Neodiprion lecontei: one gene and its partners. The protein of the gene in region 3 purifies or fractionates together with the protein of the main gene of each other region. This does not show direct contact. Links are inferred from orthologs where the notes say so. Each region holds a gene or a part of one and is shown on either strand. Other genes may lie near its edges. The genes, in order: serine/threonine-protein kinase 10; DNA-binding protein Ets97D; kelch-like ECH-associated protein 1B; serine/threonine-protein phosphatase PGAM5, mitochondrial.

Evidence for each region.
Region 1: the proteins of kelch-like ECH-associated protein 1B (region 3) and serine/threonine-protein kinase 10 purify together in Homo sapiens (affinity purification with western blotting; 3 studies listed by BioGRID and IntAct, with this or other methods). This does not show direct contact. The link is inferred for Neodiprion lecontei from reciprocal best matches to the Homo sapiens genes KEAP1 and SLK.
Region 2: the proteins of kelch-like ECH-associated protein 1B (region 3) and DNA-binding protein Ets97D purify together in Homo sapiens (affinity purification with western blotting; 3 studies listed by BioGRID). This does not show direct contact. The link is inferred for Neodiprion lecontei from reciprocal best matches to the Homo sapiens genes KEAP1 and GABPA.
Region 4: the proteins of kelch-like ECH-associated protein 1B (region 3) and serine/threonine-protein phosphatase PGAM5, mitochondrial purify together in Homo sapiens (affinity purification with western blotting; 6 studies listed by BioGRID and IntAct, with this or other methods). This does not show direct contact. The link is inferred for Neodiprion lecontei from reciprocal best matches to the Homo sapiens genes KEAP1 and PGAM5.

What each region holds. Positions count from the first base shown.
Region 1 is NC_060264.1:26,525,301-26,530,771, forward strand, and holds the start of serine/threonine-protein kinase 10, read right to left. Parts: upstream 3,608-5,471; 5' UTR 3,510-3,607; intron 3,009-3,509; coding exon of another isoform or gene 2,976-3,008; exon of another isoform or gene 2,961-2,975; intron 2,931-2,960; coding exon of another isoform or gene 2,826-2,930; exon of another isoform or gene 2,763-2,825; intron 2,580-2,762; exon of another isoform or gene 2,338-2,579; intron 1,795-2,337; exon of another isoform or gene 1,735-1,794; intron 1,593-1,734; exon of another isoform or gene 1,542-1,592; intron 1,455-1,541; 5' UTR 877-1,454; coding exon 718-876; intron 619-717; coding exon 454-618; intron 307-453; coding exon 108-306; intron 1-107. Other genes in the region: NADH dehydrogenase [ubiquinone] 1 alpha subcomplex assembly factor 2, read left to right, coding at 4,451-4,897. UniProt on the Homo sapiens protein: Mediates apoptosis and actin stress fiber dissolution.
Region 2 is NC_060263.1:31,529,437-31,536,603, forward strand, and holds DNA-binding protein Ets97D, read left to right. Parts: upstream 1-2,405; 5' UTR 2,406-2,589; intron 2,590-2,694; exon of another isoform or gene 2,695-2,938; intron 2,939-3,014; 5' UTR 3,015-3,021; coding exon 3,022-3,312; intron 3,313-3,416; coding exon 3,417-3,567; intron 3,568-4,329; coding exon 4,330-4,421; intron 4,422-4,495; coding exon 4,496-4,730; intron 4,731-4,897; coding exon 4,898-5,415; 3' UTR 5,416-6,228; downstream 6,229-7,167. Other genes in the region: protein unc-50 homolog, read right to left, coding at 394-530, 664-765, 927-1,060, 1,192-1,378, 1,535-1,686, 1,748-1,839.
Region 3 is NC_060263.1:38,075,571-38,083,875, reverse strand, and holds kelch-like ECH-associated protein 1B, read right to left. Parts: upstream 6,052-8,305; 5' UTR 5,487-6,051; intron 4,754-5,486; 5' UTR 4,738-4,753; coding exon 4,435-4,737; intron 4,055-4,434; coding exon 3,890-4,054; intron 3,749-3,889; coding exon 3,081-3,748; intron 2,997-3,080; coding exon 2,748-2,996; intron 2,661-2,747; coding exon 2,362-2,660; intron 2,254-2,361; coding exon 2,051-2,253; 3' UTR 1,234-2,050; coding exon of another isoform or gene 1,176-1,233; 3' UTR 1,119-1,175; downstream 1-1,118. Other genes in the region: uncharacterized protein LOC107225684, read right to left, coding at 1-96, 168-443, 902-1,097, 1,176-1,233. UniProt on the Homo sapiens protein: Substrate-specific adapter of a BCR (BTB-CUL3-RBX1) E3 ubiquitin ligase complex that regulates the response to oxidative stress by targeting NFE2L2/NRF2 for ubiquitination.
Region 4 is NC_060262.1:36,220,507-36,229,174, forward strand, and holds serine/threonine-protein phosphatase PGAM5, mitochondrial, read left to right. Parts: upstream 1-1,974; 5' UTR 1,975-2,109; coding exon 2,110-2,279; intron 2,280-2,577; coding exon 2,578-2,756; intron 2,757-2,893; coding exon 2,894-3,108; intron 3,109-3,298; coding exon 3,299-3,432; intron 3,433-3,572; coding exon 3,573-3,723; 3' UTR 3,724-4,609; intron 4,610-4,831; exon of another isoform or gene 4,832-5,740; 3' UTR 5,741-5,862; coding exon of another isoform or gene 5,863-5,945; 3' UTR 5,946-5,986; intron 5,987-6,913; exon of another isoform or gene 6,914-7,049; 3' UTR 7,050-7,860; downstream 7,861-8,668. Other genes in the region: NFX1-type zinc finger-containing protein 1, read right to left, coding at 1-230, 915-1,026, 1,430-1,457; calmodulin, read right to left, coding at 5,863-5,945, 8,303-8,359. UniProt on the Homo sapiens protein: Mitochondrial serine/threonine phosphatase that dephosphorylates various substrates and thus plays a role in different biological processes including cellular senescence or mitophagy. Modulates cellular senescence by regulating mitochondrial dynamics.

The DNA of each region.
Region 1 (5,471 bases), on a different chromosome or scaffold from region 3:
AAAATGTGCCTATTAATATCAGTGGAAAGTAAATTACAACTCATCGTTCGGTACATAATACCGATTGGCTGCTATCAATAACGAATATACCTACGAACGAAACTTACCCAGTTTAACGCCGCCTGCCATAGTGAGGAGAACATTGCCAGCCTTAAGGTCTCTGTGAATAACTTTGGCTTTATGAAGAAAGGCCAGTCCTTGTGTCATGTGTTGACATATATAAGCTATCTGTGGCTCGGTCAAAGCCTTTTCTAGTTCAACCATTATCGAATCCAAGGCACCGCCGTCGCAGTACTCGATCAACATCTGAAGATTCATACGTCGATTGAGATATCTTAATGAATTGATAAAGACAACAGTAATTGTGTTGCACAGATGACTGGCCAACATCTGAACAAATGATAAATTTAGATGCCTCGATCTGGTAATCTAGCAAATGCTCTGTGTACACACCCACAGTTTTCCCTCCATAAAATAGGCCTCGTGTAATTCCACGATGTTTGGATGCTTGCACTCTGAGAGTATATCAATTTCAATCATGAAATCTGCAAGGTCATCCTCACCTTCTAATGCACACATTTTAGCTGCAGCCAATTGCTGAGTCTGTTTACTCTGTGCCTAGTAAGAATGACAGAAGAAAGTTCAAATTACTAAGTACTTTCATTTGTGTTTTGTATAAAGATTCAGGGATAAAATCACAACAATGTAGTTGCTTACCTTGTAGACTTTGCCAAAAGCACCGTCTCCAAGTTCTCCGATCATTTCCCAAAATTCTTCCGGGTCGCAATCCATTTTAATATTATTGAACAACTTTTTCTTCTTCGCGTCATTGCCACCGAAGTGGAATGCTTTTTTCAAATTTGATAAAAACGACATTTTGAACTTATTACACCCTAAAACTTGACTAACAAATAAACGAAATTGACTTGGTCCATATAATTGATTGAAGCATGTCAGGCTTCTGGCAAATGACTATAAGACTTATATTGAATAATTAATACAGGACCTTGTTATATTATTTCATATAAAGCGCAAGACAGTAATTATAATCAATAACGAAGATGATTCATAACGCAGACGTGAAAATGTCACAAACGTTGTAAGATATATCATCAAATGTAACGTTAATACAAACATTAAAAAAAAAAAAATTAGTACAGTCCAGTAAATTTATCTTTTCACATGTACAAAAGTAAATCAGTAAACATCCTCGACTTGATTCCTAGGCAGGAACCGAATTGAACCAATAGTTGTGGTATTCAGACCCCCTCGACACGTCGAGGTATCGTCACAAATCTCTCCCGCATCTTGACGGATTTAATCTTCAATGGTGTCTAGCGAGCCAGTACCGATACTCGTCGCCAGTCGGTGTGGGTCATCAAGGGCTAGGCCCTTCATTTCTTCCAGACATCCAAGATTGAATGAAAAATTAACCACTTTAGAACCTCCAAAATCTGTAACAGAAATATTCAATTCATGCAAAATTACATAATAAAGATACATAAAGCTCTTGATACTAGGTTCTTAAAAACATTAGGTACTTTGGGACGTTCGGTCACTTCTTTGGGTGATTCAATTCTCTATCTAGACCACATTTGCAAGCCTGATGGAGCTGTTAATTTAACATGTGATATTAGCTATGAGTGAGTGGAAAAATGAAGACAGAGATAAGAAAGATAAGCATAAGCGTGAGCTTGTAACGGAAGGTGCATCGTCAGCGGTCGTAAAACATACCTACACCCTTGGCCTTGATCCAAGTCAGGTTTCCAATACTGATTCAACAAATACAAGTGGCTGTTTAGACAGAGCAGTGATATTATGAATTTCAAACGTATAAATATTAACATGAAGCCATCACGTTGAACAATGATTCTAGGTATATATGTACGTAAAAATGCGTCGAATTAATGATTAATACAGCTGATCATACGATCGACATCGTTTGGTTAGACGTCCACCTGCGTATTTGCGAGTTATCAAGAGATGCAAAGCACCTGTTTCATACGTTCCAGAACGGAGACATTTTTACGCTGACGGCAAGAAGTTTTTCCTCAAATTCGGGAAACTTAAAGTAAAAAATAAGTCCAAAAATTATCCGATAACGAATTCGTGAAACGAAATTTTTCTGTCACATTGAGTGTTGTTTTTGTTGGCCTTTTTTCTCCTCTTTATTTTTCCACATACATTTACATTCCGATCGGTAGTACTAAAACTACAGAACCAACGCCAAACGGCGTAATAGTTTCTTAATCGATAACCGGAGGTTATATTTCAGTGAAAGGCTGCAAAAATATAGTGAAAATAGTACCAAAATCTGTATGTAACACAGTCGCTCACCTAATCGACCAATCGGTACCAATAGTCATCTTATCCAGCAGCCTGTCGAAGGCACGGCACTGAATAAATGACACTCGGTGTACAACAATATTGAAGTAATATCACAGAATAGAACCAGTTTCAATACGAAACGGCAAGCGAGATAAGCGGGAAAAATTTACGTTTGAAATTATATGGCTTGATAAATCTGGTTAAAACACGGCCATTTTCAGCGCACACACGACTCTCAAAGAGACACGGACACACCACGCCTGGAAGTGACGTAAACCGCTGATCCACCCATGTTCAACCATGGAGTGTATTGTACATTGTGTGTGTATGCGTACGTACGAGGCAGCAGGGGGGGGGGCGCACCGTACCCAACCTTCGTTCAACTTTAAACTAACGCGCGTATTTATCGAGGGTTAAATTGTCAGGCTAGTCACCGATGGCTATTGCTGTTTCTAGCAATTGCACGGTCAACGTGCAGTATCCGTAAGTCGGTACGCATGTACTCCCAAGGAATATCAAGACTGGCTATTGCCACGATACATACCGCCTTTCAGCCCCCCACCCGCCATCGCCATGGACAATCAGTCGGCAACCCAAAGACTGTATGTATAGATAGAAAAGAGAAGGAATAATAAAAATTCAGGTGCATGCAAACGTCGTGTCGCGTGTCAACAACGTACGTAGGTATCATCTGCGGAGTATATATGAATACATTTATTCTATTTCTGACTGTGATGCGCTGCTGTATGTACGAATTCGTATTCGTAGTTATTGTTGTGGATGATATTTTGTCAACTGTTGTCTTCAAGCAAAATAAAATTCTCGGAAATCAGACGCAGACTAGTTGCCGAAGCTCGATTCTTCACTTCTTGGAGCAGACGCGTTACAGCTCATTTCTCGTATGTTATATTATTAAATTATCGTATAGCCTGCGAAGCCCTACGAAGAAAATCCTGTTATAGTCCACGGACATCAAACGCTCGAACGATTCCGATAATCGGTTAGGTTAATGTATAATTTGCAAGTAAAGATGTAGTGTACAGGTGGTTCGACATTTCTCGATTGTAATATTCACAAAAAAATTTTTGTACAAGCTCACTAATTTCCAATATAAATTGTTTCAATCGCATAATTCGATAACTCGAAAATATACATATAAATATATAATCCAATTCACATACACTACATCATAGCTTGTTCTTCGGTAAACAGACACTTATTTGAGCGTAAATCCTGCAGATTCGTTCGCAGTAGCAATCTGCATCGTAGCTTAGCAGAGTCCAAGGTAGCAGCAGCTCTACGTGAGAAATCAAGAGAATTGTATTGATTCTGTTTATTCTAATATTAATCACAAGCCGTCGAGCAGCTGGGTACTGTAAATTTTTGGTTAAATTTATGTAATCCGTGCTTGTAACGACATTCTTTACGCATCATTGTGTATCTCCCACTCAACTTTACTCTGGTGACTCTGGCGAGTCTGGCAACGGTGTCGGACAGCACGAGTAGTAAATAGTCTACAGTCACGGAGCCGTTTTCATCTCTCTCGCTTCGATTGGGTCTAATTTGGTCTCATTTTCGCGTAGCCGTCGCTGCAGATCACTGAAATATACCAAAGGAACCTGTAGTTCCAGTAGTATTACATACCTATATGAGTTCCAGGTAGAGTCCCGTAGTACAGTCTCTAGAGCATATACTTAAAGCATACCTACTACTGGAGGGAGCTACCTATCCCATCGACCTCGCGAAAATGCAGCCGATATGATTGATATATATATATATCCAATCACGTATAGAGCGAGAGAGACAGATTATACCAACATATACTTCTCTCACTCCTTCGCGACACTCAGTACACGCAAAGTTATCTCTTAAGGGTAGAGTAGAAATTATTACAGTGATGCAGACTTTCTACATGTCAAATTTCAAGTGTTTTTCTACAACTTAACCCCGAAACTTCAGCAGGTCTGGGAAAGGTTAAGAACGAAAATATGGGGCTTTTGGTTATTGCAGCCAAAGACGCATAATACATATTAACATACCCCAGCAAAAGGCCTTGCAACCGATAAGTGATTTAAATTGGTTTGCAGGGTGCAGACATACATCAACATATCGAGGAACTAAGATGGCAGGTAAACCGACGCGGGGCGTTTTTCAAACAATCTGGAAACATTTCATAGAGTCGGTTAAACCACGTAGATTTAGAGGAGATCTAGTAGGCACTGATCACTTTGGTACCAAGTATTATGAAACACCGCTACATTCCACAAGTTCAAAAAAAAAACCACCACGTTACTTCGAACCAGTGAACAAAGATGACTTTCAGCAAGAAGTACCTGCTGAATGGGAAGCGTGGCTAAGGTATCGCAGAAAAGAACCACCGTCAGATGCTGAAGTATTGCAGAGTCTGGCACTGATGAAAACTAAGAAGAAAAATGCAGCTGAATTGGAAAGTGCTTTAGAAGCTACAAGATCCTCAAAGTCAAAACCGGCACCACTGCCAGAGGCGATTGGATTCCCAACTTATAAAGACTATCAGTATCCTGAAGGATTCAAGGACAGCAAAGAGTAATGTTCAGAGGCGCTTGTATAATGTTTTCCACTGGCTACACTGGATACTCACTAAGTGCATTTCCTAAGATTCCACTTCTGCTATTGTTTGGAATCTGGAGAAATAACACTCAGTGTGAATCAAGTGCAACCAGTGAAAAATGTTATGACTTTAGTTTAATACTCTAGCGAATTGTTAGAATGTGATTGCTGATTGTTTTCGTAGCCTGTGTATAATATAATTATCGATGACGTACATGTTATGTAACAATCGTACACAATAATTTGTACTTTTGCGATGAATCCTTCAACTTCAATAATTTGTACAGTCACAAAGGAGAGTTGATTGGTAGAAATCAATTGTTCATAGTAAATTCATGTCAATACTCTGTTTCAATAGAAAGCATAATTGAAACCCCTTCGTTTTTACTTTACCTCATACTCTTTCCTTACTCTGAAGATGACTCACGATGTTTAGTAATCAATACATTTATTTAAAATGCAAAAAAATTTATTGACGTTAAGTATACCTCATCGTACATTGCGTGTAGTACATTCGAGCAACATGGTATAATATTATGTATCTACGTACCAAT
Region 2 (7,167 bases), about 6.5 Mb from region 3:
ATTTCTTTTGATTAATAGTTCAATCATAAAACTAGACCAATGGAATTCAACCTGCGATATTTTCATTTACCCAAGTTTTTTTGATAAAATGTACTTACCAAAAAATTTTGCAATTTATAAATTAATATGTAAATATATTTTTCTGATATCAATTTTGTCGTAGGAGTCGACTTATACTCAGTACCTAAAAACTGTCCCGAAATGCAGACTGAAAACTAGAGGTAGACTTGTATCCGGAGTCGACTACCATTCAGAACAATATGGTATATAATCACGGATACGGTAACATTTCTTTCTGGACTGAAGTATATAATACAGAAGTTTTTTTATTTGCAAATCAGACGATATACTATACAATAATAGTTCTATTCTTATCTCAAAACATGTACAATTTTAAACAACTCGTTCAAGGTAAAAGGTCATCACAAGATGGCTGATGTTCAAGCCTATTGCCAGGCTTATAATATATGTTAAGACCATTACGGGTAGCGGAGCTAATATCAAGTGTGTTTTGTGAAGGATCTGTACACCTAAAAGAAATATAATTATTTTTCTTTACTTACAATCCATAGAATTACATCTACAAATATATATGATGGATTCTATTTGCTATAATACTGTCTCCAATTGGAAAAATACGAAAAACATGTAATATATACTTACTAGCGTATCCCAAGAATGTAATGTAAATGTAGTAGCTAACAGCGATTAGCCAAAATGTATTTCCAATGAATCGAGAAAAGAATCCCTCGTGGCTTATCAGTCCTGTGAAAACGAATCATCATTAATTCATCTTCGGTGAATATTTAAATGGTGAATCATCGCTTGATATATGTATTCTGCAAGATTGGTCAAGTCCAATTTGGGAATTCTAATATTCATGAGTAGGTGTTACAGTAAATTTCCAATAAATGCATAGTTCTCACCATTATACAAAAATAGCTGTATAAAATGTAGAATCGTAAGAGGTGGAAAAAACGCGTTAAGGTGAATGTCAAATGCATATCCCCATTCGACATCCTGGACATTGTTAATTCTTAAGTAACGATTACTTACGAACCTAGAAATAAGTAGAATTAATTAATCAACTGTATCTTGAAGATATCTCATCAAAACTGAATACATTTTCTGTTTTGCTGCCTGAATGAAATGAACAAGTACCAGGTTTTTCAAATTTGAGTAAATCCTTACCAGAATAACGTGGCTACAATTATCCCTGCTCCAATACAGTCTACCAAAATGACGTAGAACAGGAATTTGAAAAATTGGAAAAATCCTAGCCCTGATACAACTGCAAAGCCTATCGATGAGATGCACAACCAGCAACTCAGTAGAACCAAAAATGCAGGATCGTCCCTGGCGAACTGGGATTTTGTCTCTACACAATCAAAAAGCCAATATATCAGAACTATTTGTAATCAAAAACGAAAATAGATTATGTATTTAGTTAGATTACTTTGAGATTATTTTCAGTTATCAATGAAGACGTCACTAATTTTTATGGTTTCAGACTTGATCTCAAGTTTAAACTCACGCTTTCGGCTCTGAAAGTTTCTGTATACTTTTTGTGGATCTGTAAAAAGATACAACATTTGCCAAAGAGCAAATTCAAAATCCATCTGCTCAAACTTCAATAATTTCCTCAGATACTTATAGCATTTTGTTGCTGCTCCCATGCAGTCCTGTCTGTGGAATAATTATATGGTAAGTTGAGAGCTCCGGTTGATTCGTATGAGGTTCGACATACCTGTAAGTCACTGGCATTGGTAGCGGGGACCCTGATTTGAAAGATAACGGGGAAGTGCTGCGACTTATTGGAGGCGAGGTTGTATACTTCATTTTTTCAAAGTTCGACTGAATTTTCTGTATGTTTAGAAAGGGAGAAAAAAAATGAACTTTTATCAAAGCGAAAAAACATTTTTATTATCTGCTGTTCCATTAATCTTAAAGAAAAAAAATTTCAGACAGTTGACGCATTACGAGGTGATGAAATGAAGTTCAAATAACAAAAATTGAAAATGTTGAAATCTACAAAACCTTTACAGCGAAGACATCAAATTGTCAAATTCTTGTAGGTTAACTAGGAATCTTGGAATCTTCGATTAAACGACAGTTTGTAAAATTCTTGCTTCAATCTCATTGCCATGCGGCAGGAATGTGCAATTCCACATCTATGGTCAATACCATTCCGTATTACTTTACTTTTAATTCTTTCACTGTGGTTTAGAGCCTGAATCAGAAACACGAATGACGCCATACAGATGACGTTTAACATTAAGCCAGCATCTCCATATCTTGAACCCACGCGACAGTTATTACAAAGTTAGACACCGTCCGCGTCATCGGGAATAGAGGACAGCCAATGGGTGAGTGAATTCAAGGAATGTTTTTTTTTTACCCATGGCGCCCGTGGCGCTGTGCGTCTGTCATTGTATACGCGTGCGAAAAGTTCATAATCACAATTTCATCAAGCTTACGAATTTGCGTACCAGTACTTAATTGACGATCAAGTTTACAAGGGGTGGATTTTTTCTGAAGGACGAGGTCACTGATGGAAAAAAATTACCGATGAAAAATTTCGGAAAAAGGGTGAGCATCCGCATTGTACTCCGAATCTGTTGTATGCTAGGGAAAATACCCTAACCTAACCTAAAATACTTGACTTAATTTAACATTCTCTTTTTATATAATTAGATCACCGCTATATGACTGTAAGATTTCTTCAATTCGCAACACGTAAGAAGCATCTGTTTCCAACCATCGACGTAACTTTATGACGGATAAAAAATTCTGTTTACTTCGTCAATCACGGTATCCTAACCCCAAAGAAAACGCTCGTTCTGCCCGTTCTGACTGAGCATTCGGATATTTTCGCATGTGCTTAACGATAAGTGTCTTGTCTTACTACACTACCATCGAAAAAAGATACAGCAATCAGGTATCCTTCTTGAACCCATCCTTTTTAGTTAACCTTTTGCCAACTGTATCTGATAATTTGTTAATCTCATTCGCAGGTTCAACATGGATGATGACTCAGATTTTGTTATGATAAAAAGGATAAAGATGGAACCAGAAGCAATTTTGTCCCAGGAAGATGACATAATGGCTCAGCTTCAGCAGGAGAGTTCAGATTTAGAAGTAGAGCCCAGTTTTGCACTAGACGGAGTAACTAATGGAGACGATGCTAACGAAGGTGTACTGATGCAGCACATGGACATAAGAGAGCCATTATCAACCTTAAGAAATCTACTCGAACAAAGACTGGGTGTTGAATTAATGGACTATTCCTTTTGGCTCCAAGATGCTCAGATGGTACGTGATATGAAAGAAACGAAATACCAATGAAAATTTATCAATAACAACGCATTTGCAATATGTTGTATACCTCGTTATTACAATTCAAATTACATCAACAGCTTGAGAGTCACAAAAATTTGGTTGACCAATGCGTTCAGGGGGAGGGACTAGTACAAGTCAATGTTCAAATAAAAGCCAATCAGAGACGCATTAATATTGTGGATGTCTTGAAACCTGCTGAAGATTACATCGAGTTGGCTGAAAACACATGTGAGTAAATTTTTTGTATCCAATGTTGTGCTTTTTTCTAAGCAACTGCGCTAAGAAATTTGTGACTATTACATTTTGCATGTCAGATCAGTCAAAATTGCACATGTTCACTCTTATTATTAGTTTCTAATGACATTCTCAAATAAATTTCATTCAAATATGATATGTATTGATGTGATTTAATTATCAGTAATTTATGTATATTTGTATAAAACTGATTGAATAACTTATTTCATCAACATTACTTTGTCATCTTAGGGTTCCAAGTAAATATTTGGTATGCTTGCAATTTTTTAGATCTCAAACTCCTCAGAAAAGTGTTAATTAATTAATTTGTGAACAGAAACAATGTTGTATTTTGCCATATCCTCTCAGCAAAGTTTAATTTTTAAAATTAAAATTTAATACATCTTTTCAAAAACATTCATACTCACTCCTACAAATTAGAAACTACAAATTGAAATCAAATCAATAATCATCTTGGAATCAAGATGACACTCATTCATTTTTTTTTAAAAATGGTCATTTGTTTGTTTCCATGTGACCACTATCAATAGCTAATAGCCAATGAAGTGAAATTCATTTTACAAAGTTTGAACCACCATTCACATGACAGATGTCTGTTTTGTTATCGCAGAAAATAAGGTTTCACGCCAATTAAATAGTACTATGATAGTCGTGTATCTTTCTCATTTGTCAAAGTAAACTAATACTAATATCTCTACATGCTGAAAGTCTTACTTTTCTCATCCTATCATACAGCAGAGCAAAGCTCAGCGGCGGCAACACCCAATGAAGAGGGAAAGCAGAATGTCATCAGGTGGATGGTAGACCCACAGTATAGGAAGGAACAGGTAAACAATCTCAGTTAGTTAGATAAAGATATTCAGTAATATTTTCACTTACAGTATATTATTTGTCTGTTTAGGAACGTCTGAAAATACCAGCAAGTCCCAAAGACTGGTCTCAAGCCCATGTAAAGCATTGGTTGCAGTGGGCTGTCAGGCAGTTCAATTTAGTTTCTCTGAGACTAGCCGACTGGAACATCACAGGCTCACAACTCTGCAATTTAACCCTTGACGAATTTCAATCAAAAGTTCCACTCGATCCTGGCGATGTTTTTTGGACACATTTGGAGTTGCTCAGGAAATGCAAGTTTGTTGGTAAGTATTTGTAATATGTTTACTGTTTGCTTCACTTTTCTATTTCAAATTCTACAAGTACTTATTTCTAACAGTGGTTTACAGAATTTAGCTCTTCACATTTGTTAAAATTTTTTTGAATTTCATGAAATTACATGTATTTCATATAAATAATAATTATTTCGCAGCTGTTGTCCAGAAGGATCCTCCCATGGCATCAAACGGTAATACCGACGAACTTAAGTCGGCAAAGGTCAGGAATCAGAAGACCCCAAAAGCACGTAGTTTGAATCAGCAGCCCCGGTTAGTGAGTGTTCCGATGGGAAGTGTTGACTCGCCTGGAATAACGATTGCGACGTCAAACCGAACAGGAAGCAACGGTCAAATTCAACTGTGGCAATTTCTGTTGGAATTATTAACGGATCGAGAGCACAGAGGAGCTATTCAGTGGTTAGGAACGGAAGGAGAGTTTAAACTTAATCAACCCGAAGTAGTCGCTCAGCTTTGGGGAGCTCGAAAAAATAAACCTTCGATGAATTATGAAAAACTGAGCAGAGCACTCCGGTATTATTATGACGGGGACATGATATCGAAAGTTCATGGAAAGCGATTCGTATACAAGTTTGTTTGCGACCTTAAACAGCTGTTAGGATATTCTGCCGCGGAACTTAGTCGGCTTGTCGAAGAAGGTAGAAGATACTTCTGAAAAGAATATAAGTGTGGTAATACGCAGTTAACACAGTTATGATGTTATTACAGTTGGAGTATTTGCCAATAAAGAGTTCAATTAACGAACGGCAAGCAAGGAAAAATTTACATGAACTTTATAAACAATAGATTATTATTACTTTGTCGCTGTAAGATTTAAATCCACTAAAGAAACAAACTGAAACGGTAGAATTGTGGTTCTTTTAAATCATTCTTGCTTCTTGGTGTGAATTTAATCTGTTCAACGTTAAAACTCTTTTCTTATGGATTACATTTTGCAAACGTAGTTGACATAAAGACAAGGTTGTTAATGTACATGAAAGTGGAGTATATGTGAAAGGAGTCAGCTTTAGGTGCGAAGATCCACCTAGTCAAGTTGAGTAATGCTCCTGAAAAACAAGATCGAAGTAAACTATTTACCAATAAAATAACGGCTTTGGCTAACTTTTGTACATGAAAATCTTTTTATAAGCCGCGATCAAAGTTTTCGATATGCAGGACATTCCTAAACCAAAATTGACTTCTTCCACGTAATGATACCATATATATTTTAATTCCAAGTAAAATAAAGACGAAGTAGTTATGAATCTTGGTTTCGCTTCTGTAACATGATACAAGATTGAAAGCGTACTTGTGTATTCAAATTATTGTTGACAGAACCTTGCAATTGTTTGATCGTATTTAAGTAACAAGGGATTATAATTATAAATGTATATATATGTGTGTATATATATATATATATATATATTTATATATATATATATATATATATATATATATATATTTATAGATAATATAGATAGTAGGTAATAGATCGTAAAATTCAGAATAGCGTTAATAACAGTTTTGACATTAGAAATTCTGTATTTTTTATATCAACGGGGATTGTAGATGTATAAAACAAGTTTTACCAAATAATGCAAGATTGAATAATCGCAATTATTTTTATTAACATATCTATAGTTTATATAGACAAACGATAAATAACTGTATATACATTACATGCATATAGTATATATCCTACGTACACGTGAAAGTTTGTACAACTGTTGATGGTAAAAATTTATTTCAATGATGAAAATGAAATAAACGAAAATTATTTAGTTATTTTTGGATAAAAAAAAGCAATATGATTACGTAGTTGAAATACATATGTACATACATATATTCATTTACAACAGGAGCAACGGTAAATAAGTGAAGGTAAAAAAAAAAAAAATAAAGAAACAATAAGAAAAACTCGAATGTAAAGTGATTGCGAACTCTCTCTCTTTGCGGTACGATCGTTTACGATTCACTTTTAACACAGAGCATCACACCGGAACTGACATACTACTCATTGGCAAAGGCAGCACTCATCGCCAATACCAGAGAATCTAGCCTGTGAGATATCGGATGCGACGTCACAAGTTAGGGTCTCAGGGAATCGGCGATGCGGCAGGCTATACACGCCCGCCCGCCATGCCTTCCGTTTTTCCTTATTTCCATCCATTCATCCTTCCTCCTCGTTATTTTCCTTCTCTATAATTTCTTGCAAGAATTCTTCTCTCATTCGTTGTTTGTTCTCGCGGTCAATATTTCTTTCCCCCTGTCTCCCTCTTTCTCTCGATAATTATTTTACACGGATCTATTGATGGTGATGATCATGATGATGAGGATGATGATGGTCCATCGTCGGGGCACCGACGACCGGGAAAGTTAGCAAGCTGTACAGTGGACTTCGTATCTTCGAATTTTCATTCCCTACTAT
Region 3 (8,305 bases):
AATTCAGGTCTTTGGGTACATTGCATCGTTCTGAACAATTCGGCGGCTACTTGGCAGGCAGTCCTTACTACATTTGACCTTATATTTCGCAATAAGCTATAAATCGTAATGAAGTAATTAAAGTTAATTACGTCCACGTGATAATCACGAATGAATGATGACGTCACCTGCATATGCTTCTATTTACGATTGGCATAATCGAATCTATCAGTTCTGGTTGAAGCCTTGATATATGCACAATGTCAATGAGTGCTTGCATGGTATTATCCCATTGATTTTCCTTCAACTTCAGTAACGCTAGCTTCAGCGCATCTTGTGGTCTTTCAAAGTTTAGAGCTGCTGTCGCATAATTTTTGTCCTGTAGCTTCATATTATCTCCACCAGGATAAAGCATGCTTTTTTGATTTAAACTGGTTCTGCTGCATTCGGTATACACGGAATTGCTGTGTTCAAAGGAGGTATATAAACAAGCTAGCATTGTTGCTAAGAACTTTGCAACTTGTCCAAAGCTTCAATCTTCATTAATTAAGGGGAGTCTTTGGTGAAACTTTGACCAAAACACGGGTTTTTAATTCTTGACTGATTAAATAAAGTCGATTAAGAAAAATCTTCTACCAATTTTTAGATTATGGTAGTATAGGCATTGAAAAAAAAAATTCATTCTCCTGCGATCAAAATGTACGTACGTACATACAAGGAACCTCTCCAAGGAGATTCTGCTCACCGCTACCCAAAATTCTTTGCGCATACACTTTCATCACAGGAGACTGTAATTTTCTCTAAAAGCCAATACTACCATAATTTGAAAATTGGTGGACGAATTTTTTTTATATGACAATTTTCAACCGATAATCAAAATTGAACCGAATTCTCTCCGTAATGAATATAATATCTGTAGTACCTATGAAGTATTTTTGGTAAGTGTACATCCCCGATACCCTCTGTGGCAGAAAAATTAGAGCTGTAACTCGAAGAATGCCTCTTTAGCTTTGTATTTTCAGAATTTATAGCTGGTAGTCGTAGTGAACGCTTAGGATGAACAAGTGTGGACTTTTCTTGACTGAAAGAGAGCCTTGACTTATCTTCATTGCAATACCCTAAAGTTAAATAAAATTGAATTTGACTGTTAATAAACTTTTACTGATATTTCAAGTTGACATAAGTTTTTTCATTACCTTTTCCTAGACACATAGGACAGGTAGTCGGTTGATTTTGACACTCCAGTGGCAACATGTTTAATCGCAGATTTGTGTTTTTTAAAATTTTTTTTAATTTTACAGAAATTATTCAATATTTAATGGGACTAGTTTCATCTGGAATTTGAAAAGTTAGTTCTAGGTCTTGAACGTGCATTTTGATAAACAATGGAAATACAAAATGACTGCCTTCAGCTTGCAATATTATACTATGTGGAGTAAACTCCTTTGATATTTGCGAAAAAATCATCAACATTCCAATTTATTCTTGTCTTTTTAGTCCTTGTGACAGGTACTGATATTAAAAAGTATTACCAATTAACGAATATCTCATGGTTTTTCCAATCACAAATTATACTATTAATTAGGTGTTTGCATAGTTACTAAAATAATGTACAACAATCAGTTGCGTAAACAGAATGAAGAGAATTATAGAAAATAGATCATTCGCCCTATAGTAAATATGGGTACATCGTTTTGTTACTGATTGAGTGATCTTTGGAATTGCTTTCTGCTTCTAGTTTGTATCACTAAGATTGTCCCACTTGCCTATTTTAATTTTTCACTTACCAAAGATATCTAGGTGAAGATATGAAATCGAATCAAACTTGTTTTGTAGTCTGTTTGAAGGAACTTGTGCACAGTTCACTTTTCTCAATTTATGTAAGCACTTTCTAGGCAACTCAGAATTCAAAAATATCCTCTGCATAGCTTCACTACCTGCTTGATTAAGATCAATCTCAATATAGTCTTATCTCCTTATACTATCGTTACACTATATTATTATACTACACGTCATTTACAAATAAATAAATTAAATCGCGTCATCAGGTCACAGAATTCGACATAGGGTGTCAAGATGTGCGTTTCGTTGATCGGTTTTCACTAGAAACAATGTGATGTTCCAAGTGATCACAATGCAACGGACATTGGTGATAAGAAACCGCACTCGCATGACCTGATCTACCCGAAGTCATAGGCACTCCTGGTTCCCATTGATCCTTGGCTGGATCGTATATTTCTACTATACTTAAAAAGGTCTGTCCGTCATACCCTCCTGTAACGGAAAAGAACAATAAAACTTATACATGAAATGAGAGAATTCAAATTGTCATAAAAAAAAAAAAAAATCGTGTCAATTACGATATATACACAAGACACTAACCCATTGCATAAAGTTTTCCATCTAGAACAGTTACGCTCAAAGCACTGCGCGCAACTGAAACATTGCTCACAAACTCCCATGAATCATGTTCCGTATCGTAACGTTCTACTGTGCTCAACTGACGAGATCCGTCATAGCCTCCTACCACATAGATGTACTGCCCAAGACTTGCTACACCAGATCCTGACCGACAACACCGCATGGGAGAGACCATGGTCCATTCGTCATTTTCTGGATGATAACATTCTACTGAACTCAATCTATGCATTCCATTAAATCCACCAATTGCGTAGAGCAATCTATAAATACGAAATTTCAGAGTCAAGGTTTTTTTTAAGTGCCCGAGAAAGATTGCTTAATGGAATCTTGAAAAGCATTCGTCATACCTATTTACTACAGCAACTCCGACTCCTAATCGTTTTGTGTGCATAGGTTTAACATTTGTCCAGGTATCCTGATCCGGGTCATAACATTCAACGCTGTTGTGATATTCTGCACCTGCGCTGCCACCTACCGCATACAATACACCATCCATTACAGCAACTCCCACTCTGTTCCTTGGCACTGACATGGGATTACAGGGTCTCCACTGGTCAAGAACTGGATTGTACCTGTCCACCCAATCACTGTCGTATCTTGAAGATGAGTAAAAAAAACTGTTTGTTAACGATTACTTGAACTAAGCAGGTGAACCAATATCTACATGTTATTAATCTCACCTGTTTCCTGGCGAATTGTTCCTTCCACCGATGGCGTAAAACATGCCTTTTAAAAATGCTCCTCCAAGTCCGGAACGAGGCACTGTTAACTTAGCATGTTGACTCCAAACTTTGTCGTCGGCATTATACCCTTCAAGAACATCCAACGAATGTCTAAGAAATCCACCTGCTATGTAAATGACTCTTGGTGTGTTGGGTGTCCTCTCTTTGACGACTGGTTTCTTATGCAATGTTAGGTCTTTAAAAATTTGCGCTAGATACTCGCGGCAGGCTGGAACTTTTTTTAAAACATCGCAATTTTTCATTTGTTCCCTAAGAAAGCTCGGAGTCAAATACTGACACCGAACTGCGTGCAATATATGTTCCATTTTAATACCGCGAGATTCCTCGTTGTATTTCACCCATTTTAACACTGCATTATAAACTTCTCTTTCTTCCTGTACATTAAGTTCATCTTTTCTAATTAAATTAATTAATTGTATGGCCGTAAGTTGAAGGAATTCTTCTTCTTGACAAATTCTGCTAAAGTGTTGCACGATAAATTGATTTGCTTTGTGATGTAAATCGTGACAACCATGCTGTTCAGCAAAATTTGCAATTCCGATAGCATTTGTTGGGTCCAATTGCCTCTCGAGAAATACGCAGCATGCATCTATTACATTGCCAACCTGTAATTCGAATGTCAAATATTTCGACACATAGCTAACAATAAGAACGATCGTGTATTTTATTCAATACATATCAGCTATGGAATACTTTTGAACATTTCTCAGCTTATAACCTATGACAATTACCTAGGAATACTGTACCTGAAACATTGTCGCCGCAGGTAATAACGAACAGACTGTTACTTCAGTTACTCTTATTTGTCCCGTGTACATGAAATACATGAGCCGAGCCATCGCTGTTGGACAAACCCCTTGCAATTTGACTCTGGTCATTTCACATTCTTTAAGACCTCCCGTGAACATTGCCTAGAATTTAGAGTAAGAAAATTTTTATTATAAACAGACACGAGGTATTGACAGTATCACTGACTACGAAGCAGTAATTGAATGAACGCTTTCTGTAATTCAGCAGTGTTAAATTATTCCTGACCACCGGGATGTTGTACTATCAACACTTCAAGTATTATGAAAAAATCAGGACTTACAAAGTGAGGCATTGATTGATATAAATGAAAATCAGACGAATTTGAATAAAGTATGTTAAATTATTTGAAGTGATTGTTTTTTAAACAATATACACGTAGTAACTGAAAGTTAAAAGATGTTTATTTCATGATTCTAGACTGAAAGTAATATTAGCTGGGAATAACTAGATGTGGATGAGGTGTAAAAAAATAAAATGATACCTTAAAATAAGGACTTGCCGCAGCCAAAATGACTTTGTGTGCATGGAACAGTTCTTGTCCAACTTCTAAGATAACGTCGGTAAGCATGTGATGACTTCGCATCATAAACATCATTTTCATAGCTTCTTTTATATAATTAGCCATGCAAAATGTCATATCGCCAAGGTCTCCATGTTTCTCATTACCCGGACTAAGGTTCTGGTCCTTTTCTTCACTGGTATCAACTGCTGCATCACTTCTACCGAATGATGTGAAATTACACCGACTTCCTTCCATCTGCGAATAATCCTCTTCACCATCCATGATGATCTATCATAAGCTAGGTAGAAATTGAGTAAAATTACTTTTACTGTTATCAATCTGTTATCACACGTTCTGGTTGTTTTGAGGGACTAAATAGTTTTTCAATCATGTCGTTATCTCAGATTTGAATACAACGTAAAATGTAATTGACAATATTAAGTCTATTTGACAAAAGAAAATATTTCCATTCAAACAAGTACAATTTTCCATACAGTATGTGACAAAAGCCTAGATCGGAAATGACAATGAATAAATGATAAGAAAAAATGGAGTTAAGTGAAATCATAAGATATTAGATAAAAGAGTATATCGTTTCTATTTGTGGAATTAATAGTTTCATTGATGAACGTCTTAGCATTGTTATACATCTGGTCATTCTGTTGGAATCTAAATATAATTAACTTTAGTATTACAAGTGCAGTTATTGCATATTGCGTATGAAAAGTAAATTTGCGTACAATCAGATAGGTGTACCAAAATAGGCATGTTCTGGCAAGCACCGGTATAGCAAACAAGGTGTACCAGAACAATATTGTGTGTGACGTAAACTATATTTTGGTTCATTTTGGTAGCTGTACCAGCGGCTTGCCAAAAAATGCCTCATATGGTTTTTAACACATGATACCGAGCATGGAGTATCGATGATGAAGAAATGCAACACATGCACGGGCGCAGCAAGGGTTTCGGAAATTTAAGCGGCCCATAATATTTATTAGGTATTTCTATAATAACTTAATGTGTGTATGTACCTTGTGTCCGTAGCGTTGAACAGATCCGAATCAGATTAACTTTGAGGTTATAAACCACACAAGTAACGATTTTGACTATGTATCTCCAGAAAATGACACCATTTACCAATTTTACATCCTGAAGAGTTTTCTGTTTATCATGATTCCCGCATGACAATGAGTGTTTCAAAGAAATTTGTAACGACTACACTTGGGCGAAACACAACAATACGGTATGCAAATTAGCGCACAGTAAGTTGACGGTGTTAAACGTCAGTTGTGTATTATTTTATTTTCACGAGTATTTAATTTTCCACCGCCCAACGTGTGACAAAGTGGCAGAAATGTCAAAACTGAAATTTACTATTTACGCAACGTGTCACTTTAAAACGCGCGAAAAAACCTGCACGTTGATATCCACGAGAAAAAGAAAAAGGATCGGCAAGAGGACAAACGTTTTTCCAAATATGCGATTTTAACATCTCGATTAGTTGTTGGCCATTGAGTATAAGCTCTATATCACCTGGAGGGGTCAAATTTCGGCTAGAATGACTTGCTGATTCAAATATGTAGTTATCTCCGATCATGCGAGCTTTCAGCCTTTGGCACGTAACTTACTGGCAGCGCATTCATACGATATGCATGTGTGTATGTACGTAAGTACGTCATGTAGGCCTCTGGAGAAGGCACTCGTATAAAATATACACACATATAAGTCTATTGTTGATTGAATAGTTGTCGGACACTCGCGACCAGATATCCGTTGATGAATGGAATTAAAATGAAATAACCGCAAGGGGTGTTCACTATGCAGTTGTCAAGGAATCAAAACTGCCGTCGCAATATTTTGATAAAATAATTCGAGTAATATGACCTATACATGTCCACACATTCACGCCTGCAGGTCAGCTTAGCTAGCTATTAGCCTTGCTTATTTTCCGAAAGTCATTATGACTATGCGATTCACGGAACGTACCCAGGAGACCGAGTAAAAAAAATTTTCGTACATCACGTAGACAGCTGTTTTTTTTATCACAACTATACTCAATGTTTTCTTTCGTCTTGTTCTTTGCACACTCAGGGGACCTACAACTGTATAACGATGTGCAACACTGATGCACCTTTATAAGATCATTTTCATTCAGTTTACGAGTGGTAGATTACTATTGGACCCGCGGGCCTTGAGGTAATAAACGCAAGTCTCGAATGACAATTGACATTGGTATTTTCTAATCGAAGCAATGTTCGGTTACGTATCGTTCATTTGACGAAGAATTTGGTGGAGAGGACAAAGCAGTCTCTTCATTTTAACATCGTTTCATACGGTTTACCGCAAAGGACAATTCACACTGTGACCTCTCTCACAATAAATCTTTGGAGACAGAGCATGACTGGCTTAAAGCCACCGCAGCATGAGATTGCTTTTTCCTTTGTACTTTACACTTTATCTGTACATTATTTATAAATCTATCGTTCACGCATACGTGTTACGTATCGCGGCTATTATACAGGAATATGATTTAGGGAATTCCAGAGATAGATACAAGATGTAACATAAGGATCGAATGGGATGATTTAATATATAGTCTCAAACCTGAGACAATATAATATTTATTTTATAATAATATGGAGTTTTCATCAACAATAACAGTGTAGTAGTAGGCGTAACAAGAGAGACGAGGTAGGTCACGAGGAACCTAACCTAGCTTACAACCGTGCGCTACCAGGTCGCGAGTTAAAATACTGAAATGCTTTGATTTAAATAACTGAAAAATGATAAACTATCAGGCGGATATGATCGCGATTCTTTATACTGTTTATACGGTTATCTTCGTTACAGAGTTAAGCCTCCGTTATTAAAATTCTTTCAGAATTGTATACTACAAAGGCAGACTTGGCAGCGCATGATTAAGTCAGCCGGGAGACCAACCTTTGATTCAGACTTTATTTAGCGTGAGAAATAAGATGATTTTCGTTTTGTGAAAGATGGCCCAAAACAAGATAAAGATAAGTAACAGAAAAATCTTCCACGTGACTCACTGAAATATAGTACGCATTATTATATTTCAGCGACGTGTCTAGATAGAAAACAAAGGACAGTAAAGCGACTCAACTAAATCACAGATTGATCCCACCTGTTTAAATATTACAGCTAAAATTAGTTTAGTAAGTCTATGTTTGATTTCCTTAGGCTCGGGTGACTCTAGACTGGCCCCCTATTATTTGTATTTTGATCACTCTTTAATAAATTGCAATATCAATTAGTTATTCCTCATCATCTACTGTAAGAATTCAATTTATCAGAGTTCGACATTGTAGTATATTATTATGTTATATATTATTTATTTGTTTATTTATTTACTTTTATTTATGTGTTTATTTTATTGAATTTTATTTTATACTTTTACTTTACTTCGATCTCCTTCCTCGACATTTTCTTTCGATATATATCTCATTAAATTTATGCTGCTTTAGAGATTTCAGTACTGATAGCAAACCTTTACCGAGCAAATTTTTTGTAAAATGCATATGTAGAAGCCTCATACTGGTAATATAAAATGACAAACTGAGTGCGAGATTCTGTATCATTTTATATTTGATACGTATACTCCTATCACTCCTCACTGGCAATTCCGTTAATTATATTCTATCTTCAGTCGGCAACCCATATTTCGTTTATATTGCATGTGAGAAAATTTGCATCGGTATTAATATCCATAGGAACCTACTGATTACGACTTTCGAGAGTTTAATAATAAGTATAATTATAGTCTTTCTAACGATAAACAGTCCAACTAAATATCTAAATATTCTCTAATATAATATAGTGAAATTTCCAA
Region 4 (8,668 bases), on a different chromosome or scaffold from region 3:
TGGTCAAAACTCGCAATGTGACCACCATGAGATCTGGGGTGGTAATGTTGTTTAATAATTCTTCGAAGTCAGCTTTCTTGTTGGTTAATGTTGTAACAACATCATCACTATTGCTTATACTCAAATCATTCAACCGTCTGAAATTGAAGAATCGTGTACTATACTGATCTCTGTTAGTCGGTTGCCTATTGGCACCACTACTTCTGCTACGATGCTGACCTCTGTTCTTGCTGTGAAATTAATGAATATCATATTATTTCAAGAAATGTTATAAGACTTCGCAAAGTACAATTGCTTATTAAGTTTCGTTCTATCAATAAGTATAAACGATTGTTCAAATACTCCTTCAATTAAAATTGATTACATATTAGATAAAAAAATTTTAAAAATGCAACTAAGTAGTAGATTTTTTTCAGTAAATTTTGAAACAGAATAATTGTACAGTACTGAAATATCCGTGTGTAATATATTTACAATTGATCAATAAATGGACTGATGGTGATAATTATCGTTATGAAGCTTTAAATTACAGTTGGTTTTATTAGAGGAATTAGAGCTTTATTTCTCTCAGAAATTTTCAAAATATTGTGTTTACATCTTATATCTAACATATGTAAAAGTTCGATCACTGGCATAAACTTATATTTAGACTTTCCGGCAGTCTAAAGGTTAAATTGAAGATTATGAACAGGAATTGAATTTTACCAAATGTCATATTTTGTATAGCATATAGAGACAGTATTTGTAAGTTTCCAAAAAAAGTTCTTATTGTACAAGGAATAATTGGAACAACTGGGTGATCTACCAAATACGATTTGTAAATGTTTAGTGCAAAATAATTGGAAATTTGATCACAATAGTAAAATTCAGAAGCAGGAAATTGTTGGATATTGTATCAGGTTCAGAGAACTCACTTTGCATTGGCATTATGATCTTGGGAATGATCATTACGCCGATATGGTGTTCTGTTATTGCTGTTATTCACATTATTATTTCTTCCACGATATCTGCAATGTGGACGTTGCCCTGTAAATAAAACAAAAAGCATGAGTTTTGATCTGTTGTTTTTCTTATAGCTTATAATCTACTTCCAAAGTTATGGACTCGGTAAAATTTGATGAATTATGGTATACCGACATGTTTTTCTTCAAGCTAAAATTATGAAATTAATCAGTCAACTGACAGACCACGAATATTACATACGACTTTACTATTTATAAGAACATATCAAAATAACAGATAGAGTTTTGTGAAATAATACTAAATATATCGTTACGATTGTATACAAATCTTCCAATGACTGCACTTTTAGGAAAATAGGTATAACGTTTATGCAACTTAACACTTTTCTTTGAGGAAGTTTGATGTATGTATGTACGTTTAAATGGAATGTTGATCACGAACAAACGACGTTTATGCACATACATACCAGCGTCTGGTGGGTTTGACCTATCCATGGTATTTTGCCACGTCAGTGCCCCGAAACCATGAATATTGCGCTTCACTTGGCTCTACGATTTAATAACTTCACTGGATCCTTATTAACGTAAGAACTAGAAAGTGGCAACTCTCGTGTAAAGGCCTAGCATAAAGCATAAGCGTCTGGACGGTCTGGATCAAATCCTTCTTGGTCGAAAAAATCTGAATAAATGCACTTCACAGCTAGAGTCACCGTACGAGTTTATCGCGTCGGGGAACTCCCGCGTTTCGTACTCCTAGTGCCGGGAAACTTCTCCGCAGTTCTCCGCTCTGCTGCTTCCCGACCACGGTCTTCCCGACTGTCGCCGACTACACTGGGGCAATGTTGAATTACATACATTAAACTTCTCTCGCACACTGTTTCGGCCCCCAGTGAATCACACTATACTTATATCCTCAGTCAACGACGGCATGGGTAGCTGAGCGGAAAGGCAGAGCATGTCCTACCCTCTACATTTTCACAAACTCTATGGAAGTTCGTTTTTTGCCACAGCTGACGACGGTTGGACGACAGCTTCCACCGACGTTGTGACCGGCGTGTGTGTGGCTCGTGCTTCAAAAACGTCATTTCATCTTTTCACACGCACGACGTAAAGATAAATGTAGATTTATGTAACCAGTTATCGCAAAATGCCAGGATTAACGAAATTTCAAAAATATGCCATCTCCGGACTCGGCGTTGTCGGCGGAGCTGCACTGCTTTATTACAATGTTTACGGCGGCGGTGAATCTATGCATGTGCTTAACTCCTGGACCACGAATTTCACTCCATCTGTACAATGGGAGCACAATTGGGATAGGTTAGGATCGATTGGACTACAAAATTATCTGCCCACTGTTTTTGGTGGAACGCGCGAATCACGCAAATTTTTTCCTATCTGAATCTCTTATTTGCACACTCACGTGCTTAATTCATTCGACATAACCAACACGCAGCATAGTAGTTCGTGTTTCTAACATGTAAAGACGTTCTGTAATTCGCGTTCTTGTCCTCGGGATGGAAAATGAAATTTGTATAATACGGAGCCTAACTTTGCCATCACAAAATCACAGTATTACTCTGAATCTTTCATTCTATTTTGATGTTGCACTTTTCAGACGTGAGCCAAAGTCCTTGGTCAAACCTGTCAAGATCAACTCTGAATCTGATGAGAATAGGTACAATGAAGATCTGGCTTCGCAAAAAGTGACCGCTACACGTAATTTGTTCCTTATACGACATGGACAGTACAATACAAATGGGAAGACCGACTGTGAGAGAATTCTTACCAATCTCGGTGAGTAGCTTTGAGACGACAGGATTTTATGGTTCCCAATGCTCTTGGCAGTAGATTTGGATATCATATTCTGCACAAACTGCTTCTGCAGATTTTTAATAAGCATTTCAGATTTTATTACGATGTTCATATTTCAGGCAGAATACAGGCAGAATCTACTGGCTCACGCCTCGTTGAATTGAACTACCCTTACACGCTGATCGTCAGATCGACGATGAGTCGGGCGCAAGAGACGTCTAAAATTATAGAAAAGAATTTTCCCGAAGTTCCTACAAAAGACGACAGTCTTCTGGAAGAAGGAGCGCCTATTCCTCCCGAACCACCAGTTGGTCATTGGAAACCTGAAAATTATGTAAGCATTACAAGTATTGTTGTCAATTTCGTTTTTCTTCAGAATCGTTTTATGCTCGTTTTAATTTGCAATCAGTTATAAATTCCCACAGCAAGAGAATAGTGACTTCAAGCGTAGAGTATATATGAAAGATGTTGTTCCGTTATTCGTCTCTTTGTGTAAAGCATGTTTCATAAGCAGCTTGTTGCAGCAGTTCTTTCAAGATGGAGCTAGAATAGAAGCCGCATTCAGGAGATACTTTCACAGGGCAGATCCTAAGCAGACGCAAGATTCCTATACCGTACTCGTTTGTCACGCAAACGTGATAAGATACTTCGTCTGCAGGTAAAGATTGATAACTTTCGCTCAGGTCATTTCTTGAATAAATGTTGAATAAATTACTGTTTTTACCCTCGCAATGTGCCATAATACGATAACATGAATACCTCTTAAAATTTGTAAAAAGTCTCTAACTTTCTTTACAGAGCTCTGCAATTTCCGCCAGAAGCTTGGCTACGTTTGTCATTGAATCACGCAAGTATTACTTGGATTAGAATATCTCCTTCTGGTAGAGTTACTCTGCGTTGTTTAGGCGACACTGGGCATATGTTACCTCAAAACGTTACTGCCAACTAAACTAATTGTCTACTAAGTAACAAGTGAAACATCTTCTATTTTTTAATCCATCAAAATACTTTTAATTTAAATTTGAATACATTTGTAAATTAGTATTACAGTAGATAGTATTAATTAATTAATGCAATATAATATGCATACACGTATTACATTTATGGGTATTTTAGATTGAAATTTACGGAGGTATGAAGGTGACTCATTTCTTTCGTTTTCTTAGGTCTCATGTTTGAAACGATAACGTTGGGTTTTATCTGTTGCAGTTTTTTCTTACAAAATTTTGCTGAATCGATACATGTATAACGTTCACCTGAAACTGAACGGCATCTTTTACATCATTTTTTACCGACATAATACAAATAGTTATCATTGTTTCAATCATTCAAAGTACATGATCACTTGTAAATTTTCCCCTCAAAATATTTCGATTGTGTTGATCGTATACATTTGTAGATTTAATGGAAATAATTATTTGTCAGGTTATTGTAATTTTGAAATTTTGAAAGTTGGCATCAATCAAAGAATTCAGCAGCCAATTATAAACTTCTAAGGTTAAAAAACATTTCTAATGATTTCCTGTGATTCCTGTACTCATGTCACATCTTTTTTCGCTCAGCAGGTACCTTGAACTAATCTAAGTAAGTCATTATATTGCTGGCTGTGAAAATGATAGATTGTGGGAAAGTTAATGAAAGCGAACTCTCGCCTGAAGTATCCGAGTAACTGAGAAACGTGCGTGATTAGACCAGAGATAGTATGATCGTCACGACTTCCCAAGCTGTCCGTTATCGTGAAAAATTAGACCTTCTCTCACATCTGGTAGAAAAGTCGATGATTTTCACTGCCAGTGGGCAAAGGGTACGGGTGGAAGGAGTGAAAGATAAATTGCGTGAGTAACGTTTTGTGATCGATTTATTAGATTTTCAAAATATTTGGAACAGCATGTAGTTTATCGTTATAATTATTTATTAGCATAGTAGGTAATAAGATATTTAAGGTACGAGACTTAATAAAAGTATTTAGCAATATAGACGAATATAATCTGAAAAATGTTCAATAGTAGGTACCATGATTCATTTAGGTTTCTTTTTCTTCATCCGTACGCGATATAATTATTATAATGTCAACAACGTTATAGAAATGTATAATGTGTATCTTTGAACAAGCATGAAAAACGACACTCCACATTATAGTAGACATTATGATATAGAAATGGGGATATCGATTATTTTTTTACTTTTTTTTTGTAAATCATCGTCGTCAAATGTTTCATATTCACAAGATTGATCCACAGTGGAAATATGATACTCCTGCGTCAACGAAAAAATTACGCTCACGTTGCACGAGTAAAGAATATTTTTCCTACGTAATAATATTTATTACCGATTACGTAAACGAGATAGAATAGGATATGTTTGAATTTTAAAATCGTTTAATTGCTTGTAAAATATGTTCTCGAATTTCGAATTTCGAATACCAGTCGCAATTCTTTCACACTAGATTGAGCAAAAACCGGACAAAAATACGACAACTTTTAAATTGGGAGATCTCGAAGAAGGAAGGTATAATAAAAGGAAGACTTCTGGAATCGCATTTCTTACTTTTACTTGTTAGATTGGAAGCAGTTAAAAGTTTAAACTGCGACCGTACAGAAATCGAATGTACATTTACAATCTTGATATTCGACTGGTTTTCGATAATGGTTCTGTTGCCGTCGAAAAGTTGCACGTGTGCTTTCTAGGGGTGCCGAGTAATAGGAACACGTTCGATGTTACCTGGTTTCTCCTCACCTTTTCTTTTTTCATATTCGTTCATTCGTACAAATTGACTGATCAAAAACCCCGAAAAACGAATCAAGACGCGTTATACCTCATTGCTAGGGAAAAAACCGAAGTTTTTTTTTCTCTTTTCATCAAAAGATAATATTTGAACCAAATCCATTGCCCTTGTGGCCCCGTTAGAATAATATATTGAACAACTTTCGGGGAATTCGAAAACTTTTAATTTTCTTCACGCACAGAAGGTCGAAGATTGAAGATCGCGACCCCTCCGGACACAGTGCTGCACAAAGATGCTCTTTATCGACGGCAAATATTTAATTTATTCTATCTAAGAAGATCGAAGCGGAAGATACAGTAGAATTTAGTCTGCTGGGGACTGGGGCTCGTCTTCCTCGTCCTCTTCGTCCTCGTCAATCCCCGGCTCGCCAAGCGCATGGACGAATTCTGGAATCGGACGGTCGGAAATTAATTGACATTGAATTAACGTGAGTATTTTTTCGAAGGACGAATACTCGTACATCGACGTGGGGTGTGATTCAACGTTTCAGAGAGTTCGAAAGCGTATCGGCGTAGGGTTCTTTTTTACCCTCGATTTTACAAAATGCCCTGCTTTTACACACCTATATCCGGATAAGCGAGAATCGCTAGTCTGGCAAATTGACACGTAAAAGCTATGCATCAGTCTTACAGAAGCGGGAGGTAGATTTCCTAAGGATTTGGGGAGCCGTAAAAGGCAAACGTGCGCGCCTTGTGATCCCGATGACCCCTTTTTCAAGACTTTGGCGTGATCCGCGTCTACGTCGTCTCGTATGAAGCGCAATGCGAACGGGAATTCGGAGGCGCTAGACTTCGGGAAAATCCCCAAGATGAAACCGAAAAAACAAAAACATCAATGTGTAACTAATTAACGACTCGTGCCTCGAGTTTTTCCGCCGCATAAGCGACTGTGCAAAGTATCTTTAAATCTTTAACGATAAGAAGTTCTCTGCAAATATGTTTCAATATTTCAATTTTAGACGATAAGCTCTCCATTATTTTGAAAAACAATTTTAAAAAACCACCGCCGGATTTCTGTGCAGATTTTCTACGTAGTTTAGTATCAAATATCTCGTAATATCTCTAAAATAATTGTCTCCGTCGTATTGTTAAAATAAATTCACCGGATGAAGTTTAATTTGCTCACGGATGAAGGTTTGATATATTTAAATCGATTTTTCGAATTATACGAGTTTGAATGCCGATCTTCTTCCCCTATTTTTGCATTACGGTCACCGGAGTAATTGCGAATGTCCAAGAGTCAAATAGGAGGTTACTCAAGCCGTTCTTCAGGGACGAGGACCGTCTCTTCGAATTATTCATTCGGTACCGCGTACACCGCGCGCTTTTATTATCAAATCTAATTTCGATTGCAGATGCTGGACCTACGGCCCATGGTATCCCCCAACCTCCGACCCCTCACCCCTTGACCCAAAGGGTGGCAAACAGAACTTACTCAGGCATCGCATCCCCTGTTAAGCCATCATCCACTCAAGTGTTGAACTTTTGCAGGGACGACGCGATCGGCTCGAAGATTTGGGAGCGCAAGAGGGATGGAGAGAGAGAGAGAGAGAGAGAGAGGGAATCGCCTAGCTTCTTCTGAATAGTTATTCGTGGGAACTGCACCCTCCTCCGAGTTTCCGATCGCGCGACCCTCGGCTGCTTTTCGTGCAACACATGCGGTATTTCTCGGGGCAATAGAGAACATGAGCAAGAACTAATCGCGGAGGGCTACAAGTTTGCCAAACTAGACGTAGGCACGGCTCTCCCTCGGAGAAACCTACGATCTATGTGGCATTAGCAAATGGTCAACTTGTGCACTTAGCTTTATGCCTGGTCCTCTCTCTCTCTCTCTCTCTCTCTCTCTCTCTCTCTCTCTCTCTCTCTGTAGAGTTTAAAATTCGACAAGAAAATTGTTATGTCATATTAATAACAGACGCGTAAGGCTCGGCCCGGTATCGAAAGAAAAGATCTGAAAATTTTCACGTCAAAAGAAGATCATTAACACGAAGTGCAGATGTGTTTTCGGTGGTTTTTTCATTCGATCGCACTTATAATTTGCGAATCTACATGTTTTTGTTGCGAAAGCGAGTTTATCCAACTCGTATCTCCCATGCCTGCGTGTGCTGTAAGGGAGGTACAGTGTGTGTGGTTGACGAGAGGAGCGCTAGTGTGCATGGATGCGCATAGAGTGTTGTTTGTTTGTCTTTGAAAAAAAAAAAAAAACTTGGCAACCGCATTGTTTAGCTTAGTAACCACGCTGTTTGTTAGTAATCACGTTGTTTTCGTTAATGTATCAATAAAGTTTTATTATCCAGTCTCATCCGAGTGAAATCGTCAACTAATTAATATATAGAGAATTGAATCTCATCTGAAATATCCCATCAGTTTTTACAGAACGTCGAGTGTTTTCCCAAGATTTATCTAGGTACAAGATAATAAAATGGACCGCGAATCACCCCATTGTCATCGCAGTTTTCGCCTTCTTACAGTGAATCGGCTCGCGATAGGGATGAAAAGGTGATAAACTTTACAATGATCTCGTAAAATGCATTTTTATCAAATCCCTCGGTTCGTCTCTTCTCGTCCTGCATGCATCATTCTCCGCACACAGCCGTGTACCTATGGTGTAAATATATTCTCGCACGGCCGATTTGATTATTTACGAACCGGAAGTTTACCGTTTCGGAAAATGGTACACGGCCGTGCGTTTTCCCCGCTACACGAGTAAAGGGTCCAAGGGGAAGGTATGATATAAGCCTTACCGTAAAAATCGATGCGACCGTCTCCGTCGACGTCCACTTCCTTTATCATATCTTCAACTGAAACATACAATCATACCAAACGTGTTCGTCAGATAGCGTAGCAATATAGATGTATAATAGGAGGGAAGCGGAAATTGTTTGAAACCTTCCGAAAAACGGGCGGCATGATAACCGCGCGATTGCAGATCACTGCAACGGCTATAAAAAGGGTCAAAAGAGAGGTATGGTGTAATAACACTAACATAAAAGAACGATTCAATCGCGTTTCTGTATCCGGAAACTGTGCATAGGGGATCATTTTATGATGATATCGATAGCAGGATATCAGAAATGTACAAAAACTGACAATCACCTTTCCTCGCATGG